3 linked regions of the Saccharomyces cerevisiae S288C genome follow. The gene in region 3 interacts genetically with the main gene of each other region. Each region holds a gene or a part of one and is shown on either strand. Other genes may lie near its edges.

Region 1 (3,394 bases), on a different chromosome or scaffold from region 3:
AATCACGGCTCCTCAAAATTCTCCATCGAATTTAAGAGATTGGTTGGCCCCATTAAATGCATATGATAGTGACGATGTTCCAGTTCCAAAGTATTCGCCAAATGATAAAGTCAGTGTACCGTCGGAAGACAAACAAGAACTTGAACAAAAAAGACTACAACAGTTAGAAAGCGATCCTCCCCCTTGTGATGACTATTAAAAAGTGCAGGTAACAAGTCATATACTCGCAGCTTGCGCCGTGTTGGAACTAGGCGCCTTAATCATGTTTGCATATTTCCACTATCCCAGCCACGTAATGATCCATGACATTAACATAGAAAAAAAAAATCGAAGCATGCACAAACCTGAGATTTATATATGTTCATGTGTACTTAATATACGTTTAATGATTAAAACTATAGCCGTCCTCAGGCAAACTGAGATAAGAAACGAAAAAATAGCAGTAACGTAAACGTTATTCTATATTTATAAAGACGTCAAAAAAAAAAGTGATTGTGATATTGAGATGTAAGCTATATACCGAACTTTGAGCTCCCTCACGTGGAAAATATGATAGATTGTTGCCTCATCATTGCGGAACCGCATTTTTTTTTTGTATTTTTGCCTCCCTAGTTTCAAAATGCACCAAATTCTCCCCTTAATGCTTTTTGTTTTAAGTCCCAAATAGCCATCCTTTCATCATCGGGCAAGATAGAAATTTGACTGTCATTCAGTTGTAACACCTGTTTCAGTAGTTCTTTCTGTTTGTTAAGCACAGCTGGATCCACCACCTCGTTCACGCTATTGTTATTCGTAGCCGATGCCTCTTCTTGCGGCCTGGAAGCTAACGGGATCAAATCATCCACTTTACATATCCCATTCGTTAGCAATAATTCAGCCGTAACAAAACTCAACTGTGGACACAGCTCTAATAGCGAAACAGCATCTTCAGGATGCGCTCTTGTCCATTCTTGGAATTTTTGTAAAAATTTCAACTGCACCTCTTTCGGTTTTTTAGCTAGTTCGCTCGATATCATCATAGCAGGGGTGGTCATGTTTATGTTAACGTCGATACCAGAGGGCAATTCTGGAAACTTTTGACTTAGAAAATTGGCATTTCCGCTGTTTTGAAAGTCCGGCCCATTACTATTATTATTATTATTTCCATTGTTGTTATTGTTCCCATTAATGTTGTTGTACTGTTGTTGTTGCTGTTGTGAAACTCCCGATATATCACTATTGCTGGAGTAACCGCATTTCAAAAACCTAGAGCCTAATTGGTATCCATTCAAATTACGTACTGCGCTGGCACTGGACTCTAAATCTCTAAATTCAATAAACGCGTACCCTTTCGACCTACCAGTTTGGGGGTCGAACATCATTTTCAAATTGATCACGGGCCCAACATTACTACATAAATCAAGTATCTGCTCCTCTGTTTGATCGTATGGTATAGAACCCAGATACACCACTCGGGATGGTGGGTTGTTCTGTACCCCCGCATTCACACCGCTCTGCCTATTCATTTTATCGTTTTCGTCTTTTCTTTCAATGTATTGATAATTAACGTGTCTATGTGATGCTATTGGTATATAGCCTTTCTTGTATATCCCTCTAACAATTATTACAAGTGTTTCTGTTTAAAGCAAGTGCTAGAAGTGACTCGGTTCTCTTAGGAAATTCTAAACGCAAGATTTCTCTTATGGTGATTGTAACAATTATGAGATACTTCACTAGCCCACCTTAACTTTACGGACCTTCTTTTGAAACGATGCTTCGAATGACAACGCCTTTTTGATATATAATATCCAATTTCATTATAGGGAAATTTTCAACTCTTACCCGCCCCACTGTGCTGATATGACCAAGTGATCACTCGATGATGGGACTACGTATTGAAAAATATTGAATGAAAAATTACTCAAGCAGCAGAACATTCACAGTGTAGTCAGTCCGCATAAGAGCATTCATCATGGATAGTAAGGAAGTACTGGTACATGTTAAGAATCTAGAAAAGAACAAAAGTAATGATGCTGCAGTTCTAGAAATCTTACATGTCTTGGATAAAGAATTCGTCCCCACTGAAAAGTTACTGAGAGAAACAAAAGTTGGTGTGGAAGTCAACAAGTTTAAAAAATCCACTAATGTAGAGATCAGCAAACTCGTGAAGAAAATGATTAGCTCTTGGAAAGACGCAATTAATAAAAATAAGCGTTCCAGGCAAGCACAGCAGCATCATCAAGATCATGCGCCAGGCAATGCAGAGGACAAGACAACTGTAGGTGAGTCCGTGAATGGTGTTCAACAGCCGGCCTCCTCCCAGTCAGATGCCATGAAACAAGACAAGTACGTCAGCACTAAACCAAGAAATAGTAAGAACGATGGTGTGGATACAGCTATATACCACCACAAATTACGTGATCAGGTACTAAAAGCACTCTACGACGTTTTGGCCAAGGAAAGTGAGCATCCACCTCAATCTATTTTGCATACTGCAAAGGCCATAGAAAGTGAAATGAATAAAGTTAACAACTGTGACACCAACGAAGCCGCTTACAAAGCCAGGTATCGTATAATTTATTCAAACGTCATATCAAAGAATAACCCAGATCTCAAACATAAAATTGCCAACGGTGATATAACACCTGAATTCTTAGCTACATGCGATGCCAAGGATCTGGCACCAGCGCCCTTAAAGCAAAAGATAGAAGAAATTGCCAAGCAAAACTTATACAACGCACAGGGTGCCACCATAGAAAGGTCAGTCACCGATAGATTTACATGTGGTAAATGTAAAGAGAAGAAGGTATCTTACTATCAATTGCAAACAAGATCTGCGGATGAACCATTGACCACTTTCTGTACATGTGAAGCATGTGGTAACAGATGGAAATTCTCTTAGAATAGAAAAAGATGAGAGTAGCCACGGACAGAGCAAAGGAAACAATAGGAGGAAGGGACAGAAAAGCCTGTTCTGACTCTATTCGTAGTAGTATTTGACAGCCGGAATCCAGGAAAAGAAAAAGCCAAACATACAACCATATCCAATTTGTTGAAATGGCATATTCATATACGATGTACATATATACATATACTGCTGGTGTTAATTTTTTTTGTCTGTCTCACGTAAAATCTTTTGTTCGTCCAGTTACTTTTAATTATTTATGATTTTCATGTTTTCTTTATTAATCTTCTATGCATTAAATATGGCTCGGTCAGAACTAAAGAAATACAATTTAAGATGTAACAAAACCGACGAATAAAAAGTTAGAATAAACACAAGAAGCAGAAAGTAGATACTACAGCCACACATAATGCTAAGAGTTATATGGAAGCATAGTTCCAGAGTCACTCGTTCGATAGAACTATCGAACATTTCTACCACTAATCACACCAGGAGTTTAAGGAGGCTTTC
Region 2 (6,694 bases), on a different chromosome or scaffold from region 3:
TCTGTTCAGAACATTGCAGAACTTCTTATCTTCAAATACCAAATATCATTGAATTAATTGAATGTTATGAGATATTACTGCATCATTTTCCAAGCATGCTGAAAAGATATAATTATACCTCTGAACAGGAGGAAAAATTAAACTCTATCTTAATTTCGGAAAATGTCATACAGTCTTCATGGGATGAGATTGAAAGTAAATGGATACCGCGCATCAACAACATGAAATCTGCGAAGAGAATAAATCAATTACCACCCACTTGCGAAGATGAATATTGCTGCATTAGGTTTGTGTGCGAGAGTTTGTTTAATCTTAAATATATGGATCCTCAGTGCATAACATACCGAGCTTTCAATATGTTACAATCGAATGAGCTTAGCAAAATATCTAAATTTCCTGTCTTACTGCACTTTCAAAAATTAGTATTTCAAACACTCTATATTCTATTACCTTCACATTTGCATAGAATGCTCTCCATACCGCTATTGAGACATATATTAGGTACTGAATATGGGAATGCTTTTGGTTTATGGCAAGAGGGCGAAGCCTCAGACAGCAGAGAATATTTTGGATACTGGGTATTTCCAGAAGCCTCCTATTTCAACCACTCTTGTAACCCCAATATAACGAAATATCGTAAAGGTAATTCAATGCTATTCACTATGAATAGAGATATAAAAAAGGATGAGCAGATCTGTATCGATTATTCCGGGGTACTGGACTTACCAACAGTAAAACGCCGGGCCTTTTTGGCCGACAGTTGGTTTTTTGATTGTGCTTGTGAAAGATGTAAATCAGAATTGCAATCTGTCCATTAGCGCTTCTTCCAACGCAGATTTACTAACACTTAAGCTCGAAGATAAATCGTCATCTGAACTACCGCACTCCATTTCTTTATTAATACCATCCTTATCCAATTTGTCATTAGGCTTATTCTCACTATCCGATGTTTTCTTGTGAATGTTCAAAATTTTGGAAGTTTGCAAATGTTGTAACGCCTCATTTGTTACTTCTGTCTCAACTTCTTCAGAATCCTGTCTTTCCGTGGTCAGTGGGCTTGCGGATACATTTAATAGATTATCATTTTGTAAAGTAGGGGTATATTTATGTATTAAATCAGACATCCCTTCATTCACTTGATCATTTGAATACTTCTCAAGATCTCTTTTTTTCTCCAATTGTAGTTGTAAAAGCTCTAAGTGTTCAGCAAATAATTTATATGTTCTCTTTTTAAGAAAAAATTCAGGCGTTTCAAATATTTTTGATAAATTCTGCCAATCTATTTGATCTTGTGAATAATTCAAATTTGATACCATTGTCCAAAGCTGTCGCTCCTTTGTTCCATTCCACTCAAATTTGGGAGGATCCAAGAATCCCTGTGGTCTCCTACCCTTAACTTTGATATATACAACTGTGTTTGTACTATTCATAATCATGAAAGTCAAGTAGGAAAATGCACAGCAGTACAATTATGTATGTCTCTTCTTGATAAGTATTCACTAACACCCCTTTATTTTCACCTTGAATCATTTTTTTGACGAGTGCAGTGCGTCTAGAAATAGTGTACTTGAAGAAAAAAGCCATCTCTGTAATAGAAGCACAAAACAAGAGAAAGTATTTGAGTCAATACAAAACTACAAGTTGTGGCGAAATAAAATGTTTGGAAATGTCGAGGGAGTCGAACGACACAATACAGAGCGATACGGTTAGATCATCCTCTAAATCAGACTATTTTAGAATCCAGCTAAATAATCAAGACTACTATATGTCAAAACCCACCTTTTTGGACCCATCGCACGGTGAAAGCCTGCCCTTAAACCAGTTTTCACAGGTCCCAAACATCAGGGTGTTTGGTGCTTTACCCACAGGGCATCAAGTATTGTGCCACGTCCATGGCATTCTACCTTACATGTTCATCAAGTATGATGGACAAATAACTGACACGAGTACATTGAGACACCAAAGATGTGCCCAAGTTCATAAAACGCTGGAAGTAAAAATTAGGGCATCCTTTAAAAGGAAAAAAGATGATAAACACGATTTAGCCGGCGACAAACTTGGAAATCTCAATTTTGTCGCTGATGTCTCTGTTGTAAAGGGTATACCATTTTATGGTTACCACGTTGGCTGGAATCTGTTTTACAAAATTTCTTTGCTTAATCCTTCTTGTCTAAGTAGGATTTCGGAATTGATTAGAGATGGCAAGATTTTCGGAAAGAAATTCGAAATTTATGAATCACATATTCCTTACTTGCTACAATGGACCGCAGATTTTAACTTATTTGGATGTTCATGGATAAACGTGGATAGGTGTTATTTTCGCTCTCCTGTTTTAAATAGTATACTGGACATAGATAAGCTGACAATTAATGATGATCTTCAGTTGTTACTAGATCGATTTTGTGACTTCAAGTGTAACGTACTCAGTAGAAGGGATTTTCCACGGGTTGGAAATGGATTGATTGAGATAGATATACTACCGCAATTCATCAAAAATAGAGAAAAGTTACAGCATAGAGATATACATCACGACTTTTTGGAAAAACTGGGAGATATTTCTGACATACCTGTCAAACCATATGTATCCTCTGCTAGGGACATGATAAATGAACTTACCATGCAACGAGAGGAGTTGTCCTTGAAGGAATATAAAGAACCACCAGAAACAAAGCGCCATGTGAGTGGTCATCAATGGCAATCTTCTGGAGAGTTCGAAGCGTTTTATAAGAAAGCACAACATAAAACAAGTACTTTTGATGGTCAAATACCAAATTTTGAGAACTTTATAGATAAGAATCAAAAATTCTCAGCCATAAATACGCCCTATGAAGCATTACCGCAATTGTGGCCAAGGCTTCCACAGATTGAAATAAACAATAATAGTATGCAAGATAAAAAGAACGACGACCAAGTTAATGCATCGTTCACCGAATACGAGATATGTGGTGTTGATAATGAGAACGAAGGTGTAAAAGGAAGCAATATAAAGTCTCGGTCTTATTCATGGTTACCGGAAAGCATTGCGTCTCCGAAAGATTCTACTATACTATTAGATCATCAAACAAAATATCACAATACGATAAATTTTTCAATGGATTGTGCTATGACGCAAAATATGGCAAGTAAACGAAAACTTAGATCATCTGTTTCTGCTAATAAAACATCGTTGCTGTCTCGGAAAAGAAAGAAGGTTATGGCTGCGGGATTACGCTATGGAAAAAGAGCCTTTGTTTATGGTGAGCCTCCTTTCGGTTATCAAGATATTCTGAATAAATTGGAAGACGAGGGATTCCCAAAAATAGACTATAAGGACCCTTTCTTTTCGAATCCAGTTGATCTAGAAAATAAACCTTACGCGTACGCAGGTAAGAGGTTTGAAATAAGCTCGACACATGTATCAACGAGAATACCCGTCCAATTTGGGGGAGAGACCGTATCAGTTTATAACAAGCCAACTTTCGACATGTTTTCCTCCTGGAAATATGCGTTAAAACCACCTACGTATGATGCTGTTCAAAAATGGTACAATAAAGTACCCTCGATGGGAAACAAAAAAACTGAGTCTCAGATAAGCATGCACACCCCTCATAGTAAGTTTTTATACAAATTTGCTAGTGACGTTTCTGGAAAACAAAAAAGAAAAAAAAGTAGCGTTCACGATTCTCTTACTCATCTGACACTTGAGATTCATGCAAACACGAGAAGTGATAAAATTCCAGACCCTGCAATAGATGAAGTTTCCATGATTATATGGTGTCTTGAAGAAGAAACTTTCCCTTTAGATTTGGATATCGCTTACGAAGGGATTATGATAGTCCACAAAGCTTCTGAGGATAGTACATTTCCTACTAAAATTCAACATTGTATTAACGAAATTCCCGTGATGTTCTATGAAAGTGAATTTGAAATGTTTGAGGCTCTAACTGATTTGGTATTACTTCTTGATCCTGATATTCTTTCCGGTTTCGAAATACATAATTTTTCGTGGGGTTATATAATTGAAAGGTGTCAAAAAATACATCAATTTGACATTGTCAGGGAACTTGCCAGAGTCAAATGCCAAATTAAGACGAAGTTGTCAGATACTTGGGGATATGCCCATTCCTCAGGAATTATGATTACCGGAAGACATATGATTAATATATGGAGAGCGTTGAGGTCCGACGTAAATTTAACGCAATATACTATTGAAAGTGCTGCGTTCAATATCCTCCATAAACGATTACCTCACTTTTCATTTGAGTCATTAACTAATATGTGGAACGCTAAAAAGAGCACAACCGAATTAAAGACTGTGTTAAATTATTGGTTATCAAGAGCTCAGATAAATATACAACTATTAAGAAAGCAGGATTACATTGCTCGAAATATCGAACAGGCAAGATTGATAGGAATAGATTTCCATTCTGTATATTACAGAGGATCACAATTTAAAGTTGAGTCTTTTTTAATCCGAATATGCAAGTCCGAAAGTTTTATCCTTCTTTCTCCAGGCAAAAAGGATGTTCGTAAGCAAAAAGCACTTGAATGTGTGCCTTTGGTTATGGAGCCAGAATCTGCTTTCTACAAAAGTCCTTTAATTGTGCTGGATTTCCAATCATTGTATCCATCCATTATGATTGGATACAACTATTGCTATTCGACTATGATAGGAAGAGTGCGAGAAATAAACTTAACGGAAAATAACCTTGGAGTATCTAAGTTTTCATTACCAAGAAACATTTTAGCTTTATTAAAAAATGATGTAACTATCGCTCCAAATGGTGTTGTTTATGCCAAGACCTCTGTTAGAAAATCAACGTTATCCAAAATGTTAACAGATATCCTTGATGTCAGAGTGATGATAAAGAAAACAATGAACGAAATAGGTGATGACAACACTACCCTAAAAAGGCTTTTGAATAACAAACAGTTAGCACTAAAATTATTGGCGAATGTCACCTACGGTTATACATCAGCTTCATTTTCTGGACGAATGCCATGCTCTGATTTAGCTGATAGCATTGTACAAACAGGCAGAGAAACATTGGAGAAAGCAATAGATATTATTGAGAAAGATGAAACTTGGAACGCCAAAGTTGTCTATGGAGACACAGATAGTTTATTTGTATATCTACCTGGAAAAACTGCTATTGAGGCTTTTTCTATAGGACATGCTATGGCAGAAAGAGTTACTCAAAACAATCCAAAACCAATCTTTTTGAAGTTTGAAAAAGTATACCATCCCTCCATATTAATTAGCAAAAAAAGGTACGTAGGATTTTCCTATGAAAGTCCTTCGCAGACCCTTCCTATTTTTGATGCTAAGGGTATTGAAACTGTTAGAAGGGATGGTATCCCAGCCCAGCAGAAGATTATTGAAAAATGTATTCGATTACTTTTTCAAACCAAAGACCTGTCAAAAATAAAAAAGTATCTTCAAAATGAATTTTTTAAGATTCAAATAGGAAAGGTATCTGCCCAAGATTTTTGTTTTGCAAAAGAAGTTAAATTAGGAGCGTATAAAAGCGAAAAGACAGCCCCTGCAGGTGCCGTGGTTGTAAAAAGAAGAATAAATGAAGACCATAGAGCAGAACCCCAATACAAGGAGCGTATACCTTACCTTGTTGTTAAAGGAAAGCAAGGACAACTGCTTCGGGAAAGATGCGTATCACCAGAAGAGTTCTTAGAAGGTGAGAATTTAGAGTTAGATTCGGAGTATTATATAAACAAAATTCTGATACCTCCTCTTGATAGATTGTTCAATTTGATTGGTATAAATGTTGGCAACTGGGCTCAGGAAATAGTAAAATCCAAAAGGGCGAGCACAACTACTACAAAAGTGGAAAACATAACAAGAGTAGGAACTTCTGCAACATGTTGTAATTGTGGTGAAGAATTGACTAAAATATGTTCACTTCAGTTATGTGATGACTGTTTAGAGAAAAGAAGCACCACAACCTTATCATTTCTCATAAAGAAATTAAAGAGACAAAAAGAATACCAAACACTAAAGACCGTGTGCAGGACGTGCAGTTATCGTTACACTTCCGATGCAGGCATCGAAAATGACCATATAGCTAGTAAATGCAATTCATATGACTGTCCAGTATTTTACTCTCGTGTCAAAGCAGAAAGATACTTGAGAGATAATCAATCTGTTCAAAGGGAAGAAGCATTAATATCTCTAAATGATTGGTAATCTAGACACAGATATGTCTCGCAAAATGATGAGTAGTTATTTGTTTCTATGTATAACGTTGTTATATACAAGAAAGAAAAAAATCATTTCTTTGATTCTTGACGTTGAGATAGACGGTATCTATAATATGCAAAAAAGGAGGCCAGCAATGCTGAGAGTGAAATAAGGAATCTCTTTGAATTAGTGAAAGACTTTTGAGGAATCTTCGTATCCTCTAAGAGTGGATTGCTACTTTGAAAAACTACAATTTTATTATTATCGTATAAGTTCCCCACACATTTCCAACCTTTTAATTCGATCTCATTAATTTCGTTCAAAACTCTATCTGGTGGGGACCCAGATGCATTAATAACGCCAAATAAGTCCGTAAAATTGATGTTAAAGACACTGTGATCAAAGTTGTTTGACAGGGTCATATCCTTATTGTTTTCTAATGAGTGTAACAATATGTTATTCCCTTGAAGTACTTTTTTAGTAGTTTTACTCTTTTTTCCTCCTCCGTTTGAACCTAAA
Region 3 (5,298 bases):
TTCTGACGTAAATCTATGGATGTAACCTGTTTAATTATTAGATCAAAAAGTTCTTACTAACGTTAGTAGTTGGCTTGAGCCATTAAATTTTGCGTCATTAACATTGCGGATACTCTCGTAATAATATACCTAAAATACACTAGGTTTGGAACATTGTTCTTGACGCATTGAGTAGAAGGGCTCTCCGCTGTGTGAATATCTCAGAGTGGAAAATTGTACAATAGAGTTGCTTTACGCATTCTGGCCATGAATCTGTTTTTATCCATGAAATTGTAGAAAAATTAAAAGGTTTGCGGATAAAGTGTGGAATAAATGATTCTACTCACGGTACTATTTGACCCTTTGTATCCTATATTAGAAATGCTTTATTAAACAATCTAATTCAAAGACAGTACCAAATAATTGTTTCTAACTAGACATTTAAAATGGTCTGTTAATCATATGTGGGTTGTTTGTTGAACATAAGATTTTCTACAACGCATCTTTATAATTATTATATATTTATTTGTTATCAGTGTCGTATGTCAGATGACGTAATATATAGTGTCCATTTTTAGTTATTTTTCTTTTGATACAAAACATTTTTCTTTGATGTAAAATCAACATTGAGATGAAAAATTGATTCAACACACCAATTCCATTCAACAATCAAAATTGTTTCGTTTTTATCACGATCATTAATCAGTTTGGTAAATTTTTTAACCTGTGAAGCTTTGGTGACGATAAGTACGTATTTAAAAATGCCTCCGTTTTCCTGCTTAGAAACGTCATTTGGGATTATGTCTTCAAATGTGCATTTCTTACTACGTAAAACGTTGATTTTTTCGATACCATGTGCCTTTAGAACAGAGCCTATTGTATCTACACCACCCGGTATATCATTGACTAAGTTAATGCATCTAATATTCGCTCTTTCGAACACCTTAGTAGGTAGTTTGGTTTTTGATATTATACTCTCATTAATTCCATTTATCTCATAATCAAACAAGTTTATATTTATTTGAGAAAGTTTATCTTTTTTAGAATGAATTTGTTTCAGTAAATCAATAATAAATTCAGGTTTCAATGCGAATTTTAACGGTTCAAAACTTAAGCTTTTTAAAAATTTCTCGGTTCTCAAAATCTTTGGAGCAAAAATACAATTCAATTTATCCGTTTCTTTAATATTGTCAAAAATTTTTATACCTAGTTGGTTCAATATTTCGATGTCAACCTCATTAAATCCATCATGGAAACAACCGGTGCAAACCGCTTTTAGGTCATAATTTGGTAGTTCATTAAATCTAGCTAATATCTTTTCCGCTTTAGTAGCCAGTTCTTTGTTATTATTTGACCTTTCAACATCTTGGGACAATGAAATCTCCTCGCTATCAATTCTCTTCCTTTTAAAGTTTTTCTGAAATTCATTTAATGATTCAATATCTGTATGCAATCTCTTCGCAGCTTGTGTCTTTGCTAACCTTGAATTGCCACTTGATGGCATAAAAACTTGCGTTTGCGCGGTGGTTGGAGTATCAACGCCACTCGTAATATTTTGAGACGTCTTGGGTGTGGTATATTTGGAATTAACTGCCGGTTTTTCGTCATTAATGTGATCATCATTATCAGATAATCCTTCAAACAAATGCGAGAATTTATCTGTATCTTTTTTAGAAGTGACGTCTTCCGTAGAAATCAGTTTTCCTGTACTTTCCTCCCCTTGCTTTTCATTCGTCATTTGATCTACTTCAATGTGACATTCATTGGTTTCTTTCTCCTTTTCATTTTTCTTCGAAGTTTTGATCTCTCGTTTAGTTCGTTGTCCTAGCTGAACTTGCAGCTCCGTTTCTTCCTCTTCTTTTTTATAATCTATGTCATTCTTCTTGCGTGACTGTTCCCTTATTTCTTGTTTCTTAGGTGCATCATACTCCGTAATAGGTTTCGTAAACTCCTTTTCTTCTCTTTTTTCATGTCCTTCACAGAAAACCTCTGTTTCCATACTAATATCTGAGTTTGAGTCTTTCTTTTGTAAATTAGATTTTTTACTGTCAACTACTGGAAAACTTGCCCTTGAAGGTCTGGAAACAAAACTCCGTTCTAAATCTCCAGAATGGGTTACAGCCACCTCTCCTGATATTTTTTGTAATTTGTCAATCTTTTCATCAATTGAGTTCTCAAAACTACTAATGGGCGTACCATCTTTCTTTGATAATACATTGGTGTTATCGTTAATTTGATCCATTTGATCATTTGTGGGAGGCGGCTTCTCTGATATGGATTGCGTGTCGTAAGTCACCATCGATAGGTTTTTTGGAGTTGGGAGAGATGAATGATCCATTCCTATTTGGCCGATATTCCATCCCATGTTATCATCCAATTTAAAATTTTGAAATCTACTGTCTTTGGGGTTTAACTTGGAATTATTCATATAACATTGCTCTAACCACATATGATTTGTCACAATAATGGCATTTTGCGGGTCCAGTGACCATTTTTTTGCGACTTTGAATTTTTTGCCAATTGTACTCTTCGTGATCAAGTGTGTGTTTTTTCTTGTTAGTTCAGGTGTGCTAAGTCCTCCTAATATTTCTACTAACCTCTGAATATAAAACCTTTGGGAGCCGAAATAATTAGTGTACGCGACTGTTAATTCCTTAGAAGTAAATAATTTCGCATGAAATGGTTGGTGAATAAGTTTACATTGCGATACAGGTGTAAATTTTTGCAGCGCAAACATATAAAACAACCAACTTACGTTCCCAACATGAATTTCCGGTTTAATGCTTTTGGTTTTTTCTAGTATCGGTGAGTTAGCAGAGTGGCCGATATAACAGTCAATATCAGGAAAAGCTTGGTAAACAGACTTCAGATCGTCAGAAAAACTCAACGGAGTTACTTTGCCGTCCAAATCCTCGATAAATCCTTTCAAAAACCAATACAAAGGTGTGAAAAAGTTTAAATCTGGTGAGATAGCAAAGTGGTGATTTTTGAATAAAGTTTTGTTTGGATGAAGAGTAAGCTGCGATGATGATGTCTGCTTATCGCCAATAACCTCTTCCCATTTTGCGAATAACTGTTCCTCACTGGTGTCCTGCATATCAAGCTCACACAAAGTAGCAAGCTCGCCCTTCAAGGGCTTCGCCATTTTGAAATGATATAATATCCATATTGGATAGACAAATTTCCACTCTCTCAAAGGCTTTTCGGTGTGCTTGTTGGTCGATGAAGAGGAAAAAGAGCCAAATGTCAATTTACTGACCGTTGCTATGATCGGGTCCTGGGGACTTTGAACAATCACATGCGTCGTTCTATTTGAGATGTAATTGACTAAAGTGCCTCCTAATAAATGAAGCAAATCAGAGTATAATATGTATTCACACTTATTAAACGAGCTTTTGGAAATATATACTTGACAGTCTCGGAGCAAATGAAATGGGTTAGGTGAATACATATTTGTCCTCAAATGTCTCTTCGTCTTGACCGAATCCTGGACCCAAGTGTGTGATACCACCGGGATCAAAAGATCGAAATAAACTATCTTATAAAAAGGAAAGTTGATTGTATTACTAATGACAAAATGTACTGTTTGCGGGCCGAATTTGTTCATGAACCAATCTTTATCCGTCTTGACATCTTTCAAATTTTCGTTATAAAGCTCGTATATTTGACAGTTATTGCATGAATTATCCATCAAAAGCTTTCTAGTAGAGTGAGCGATGGGAAGCTCAGCCTCTGCTGCCACTAAAATTAAAAAATTTAGCTGCTCAAACAGAAGTGATGTGCTCATGGATCGTATATTTACCAGTATGCTACCTCCTTGAAATCTTGCCCAATAACCTAATGACTTCCATTGAATATACAATATAGAACATTGTGATGTATTTATTTATTGGCAAAAAATGTGACGCGAAAAACAACATTAGATGAGTGAAAAAGAAAAGTCACATCTGATATAGCTTACCCTGTTAACGCGTGAAAAGTGGGCGGCTAAAACCGAGAAAATACGAAATAGTGTAAAGGTTCAAGAGAATAAACTTCTGGAACAACATTTCTGGAATGGTTCAATAGAAATGTCTGAATTCTTTTGGGATGTACAAAAAATACAAGAGATTTCTAATGTCGAAGAACATTCTGTGGTTAAGTGTGTTACTGTGAATACGAGCAGGTTAATTTCGCAGCTTAACGAGGAGCTACAAGACGAAGAAAGTGGCGTCAATTTTATTGTTACACAGCTGCAATTACTGATAAATAATGTCTATGAGAAAATACAGAAAAGCCCTGGAGTTCCCGCACATCGTTCTCTGATGATAAATTTGAATTTCACGCGCTTGAAATTCTCAATAGCTTATTGGGATATCTTATTGGAGAGGTCACTAGATCTAATAAATGGACCATCGAAAACGGGTGCCCGCTACTTTATTACAGAGGTTACACCAGTAGACAGAAGTCGATATGTTGAAAACAATCAATATTTTCTAGCTTTTAAAGCTAACCAGCGTTTGACACGGAACAGCGTGGATATGGACGAGTTTATTGATTTTGAAATTCTAATCAAGCAAATAATTTTCGACCTCTTCAAAAAAAACGGAATTCCAGATCAAGATTTTGAAGCCATTTTATCAAGGTTTCATAATTTGGAAAGCTTGGTGGTTGCTTTTAATGAATAATAAAAAAAATGTAAGAAAAAAAAAATCAGGTATTGTTGAATTATTATTTACTTATTCTTTATGTACTCGTTTGCTTATTGGTTTAGTGTAGCATTTGGCTATTTTTGGATGACTAGAAAGGCAGATTTTTTTAGTAGAAATACTCCTCATCTTCATCGATTTCTACATCCTCTGAATCGGCAGCAAGGTTGCCTTTAAAGTTCAGTTTCATAGGATTGACTTTCTTTTTCTTTCCGAACATCTTAACTTTGTGCTCATTCAATTTCAATGAGCATGGTGATACCAGCCTGTCAGTCGGTGATGCAAATCTTTGTTGTAGTTGGAGTTTCCTCTTCGGATCCTGTTTTAAAAGATCCCTTTTGAACATTGTCTTTTTTACCAAATTGCTAGTGGTGTGTGACGACTTCAAGTTTGAAGTGCTTTTTTTCCTAAAAATTCGAAAGGCCGCAATCTCCTCCTCTAAATTAGGTATATTCTCTTTATTGGCGTCCTCTCCTGTCTTCGCCGATTCATTGTAATTATTGATGTTATTGTGGTGATGGTAGTTGTCGTTGTTGCTGCTGCTGCTTCTGGTGATTGTGTTTTCTCTGGTAATATCAGTCTTGAGGATGGAAGCCGTGCGTGCTGATTGGTCACTTGCCTTGTTGGACAT

The links.
Region 1: mutations in RTT107 (region 3) and DST1 together harm fitness more than expected from each alone (negative genetic interaction), as found in Saccharomyces cerevisiae (3 studies listed by BioGRID).
Region 2: mutations in RTT107 (region 3) and REV3 impair growth when combined (synthetic growth defect), as found in Saccharomyces cerevisiae (3 studies listed by BioGRID).

Annotation. Positions count from the first base shown.
Region 1 is NC_001139.9:415,532-418,925, forward strand, and holds DST1 (transcription elongation factor DST1), read left to right. Parts: upstream 1-1,951; coding exon 1,952-2,881; downstream 2,882-3,394. Other genes in the region: RIM8 (Rim8p), read left to right, coding at 1-199; RNA15 (Rna15p), read right to left, coding at 615-1,505; YGL041C-B (uncharacterized protein), read right to left, coding at 3,173-3,355; DPC13 (Dpc13p), read left to right, coding at 3,294-3,394. UniProt on the Saccharomyces cerevisiae protein: Necessary for efficient RNA polymerase II transcription elongation past template-encoded arresting sites.
Region 2 is NC_001148.4:232,080-238,773, reverse strand, and holds REV3 (DNA-directed DNA polymerase), read left to right. Parts: upstream 1-1,666; coding exon 1,667-6,181; downstream 6,182-6,694. Other genes in the region: SET6 (Set6p), read left to right, coding at 1-818; ATG29 (Atg29p), read right to left, coding at 795-1,436; MRX4 (Mrx4p), read right to left, coding at 6,265-6,694. UniProt on the Saccharomyces cerevisiae protein: Nonessential DNA polymerase. Required for DNA damage induced mutagenesis. Involved in DNA repair, mitochondrial DNA repair and translesion synthesis.
Region 3 is NC_001140.6:401,434-406,731, reverse strand, and holds RTT107 (Rtt107p), read right to left. Parts: upstream 3,767-5,298; coding exon 554-3,766; downstream 1-553. Other genes in the region: SPO16 (Spo16p), read left to right, coding at 4,050-4,646; SPO12 (Spo12p), read right to left, coding at 4,777-5,298. UniProt on the Saccharomyces cerevisiae protein: Required for resumption of chromosome replication after DNA damage, specifically in S phase. Is recruited to chromatin in the presence of RTT109 and RTT101 in response to stalled replication forks and acts as a scaffold during DNA repair.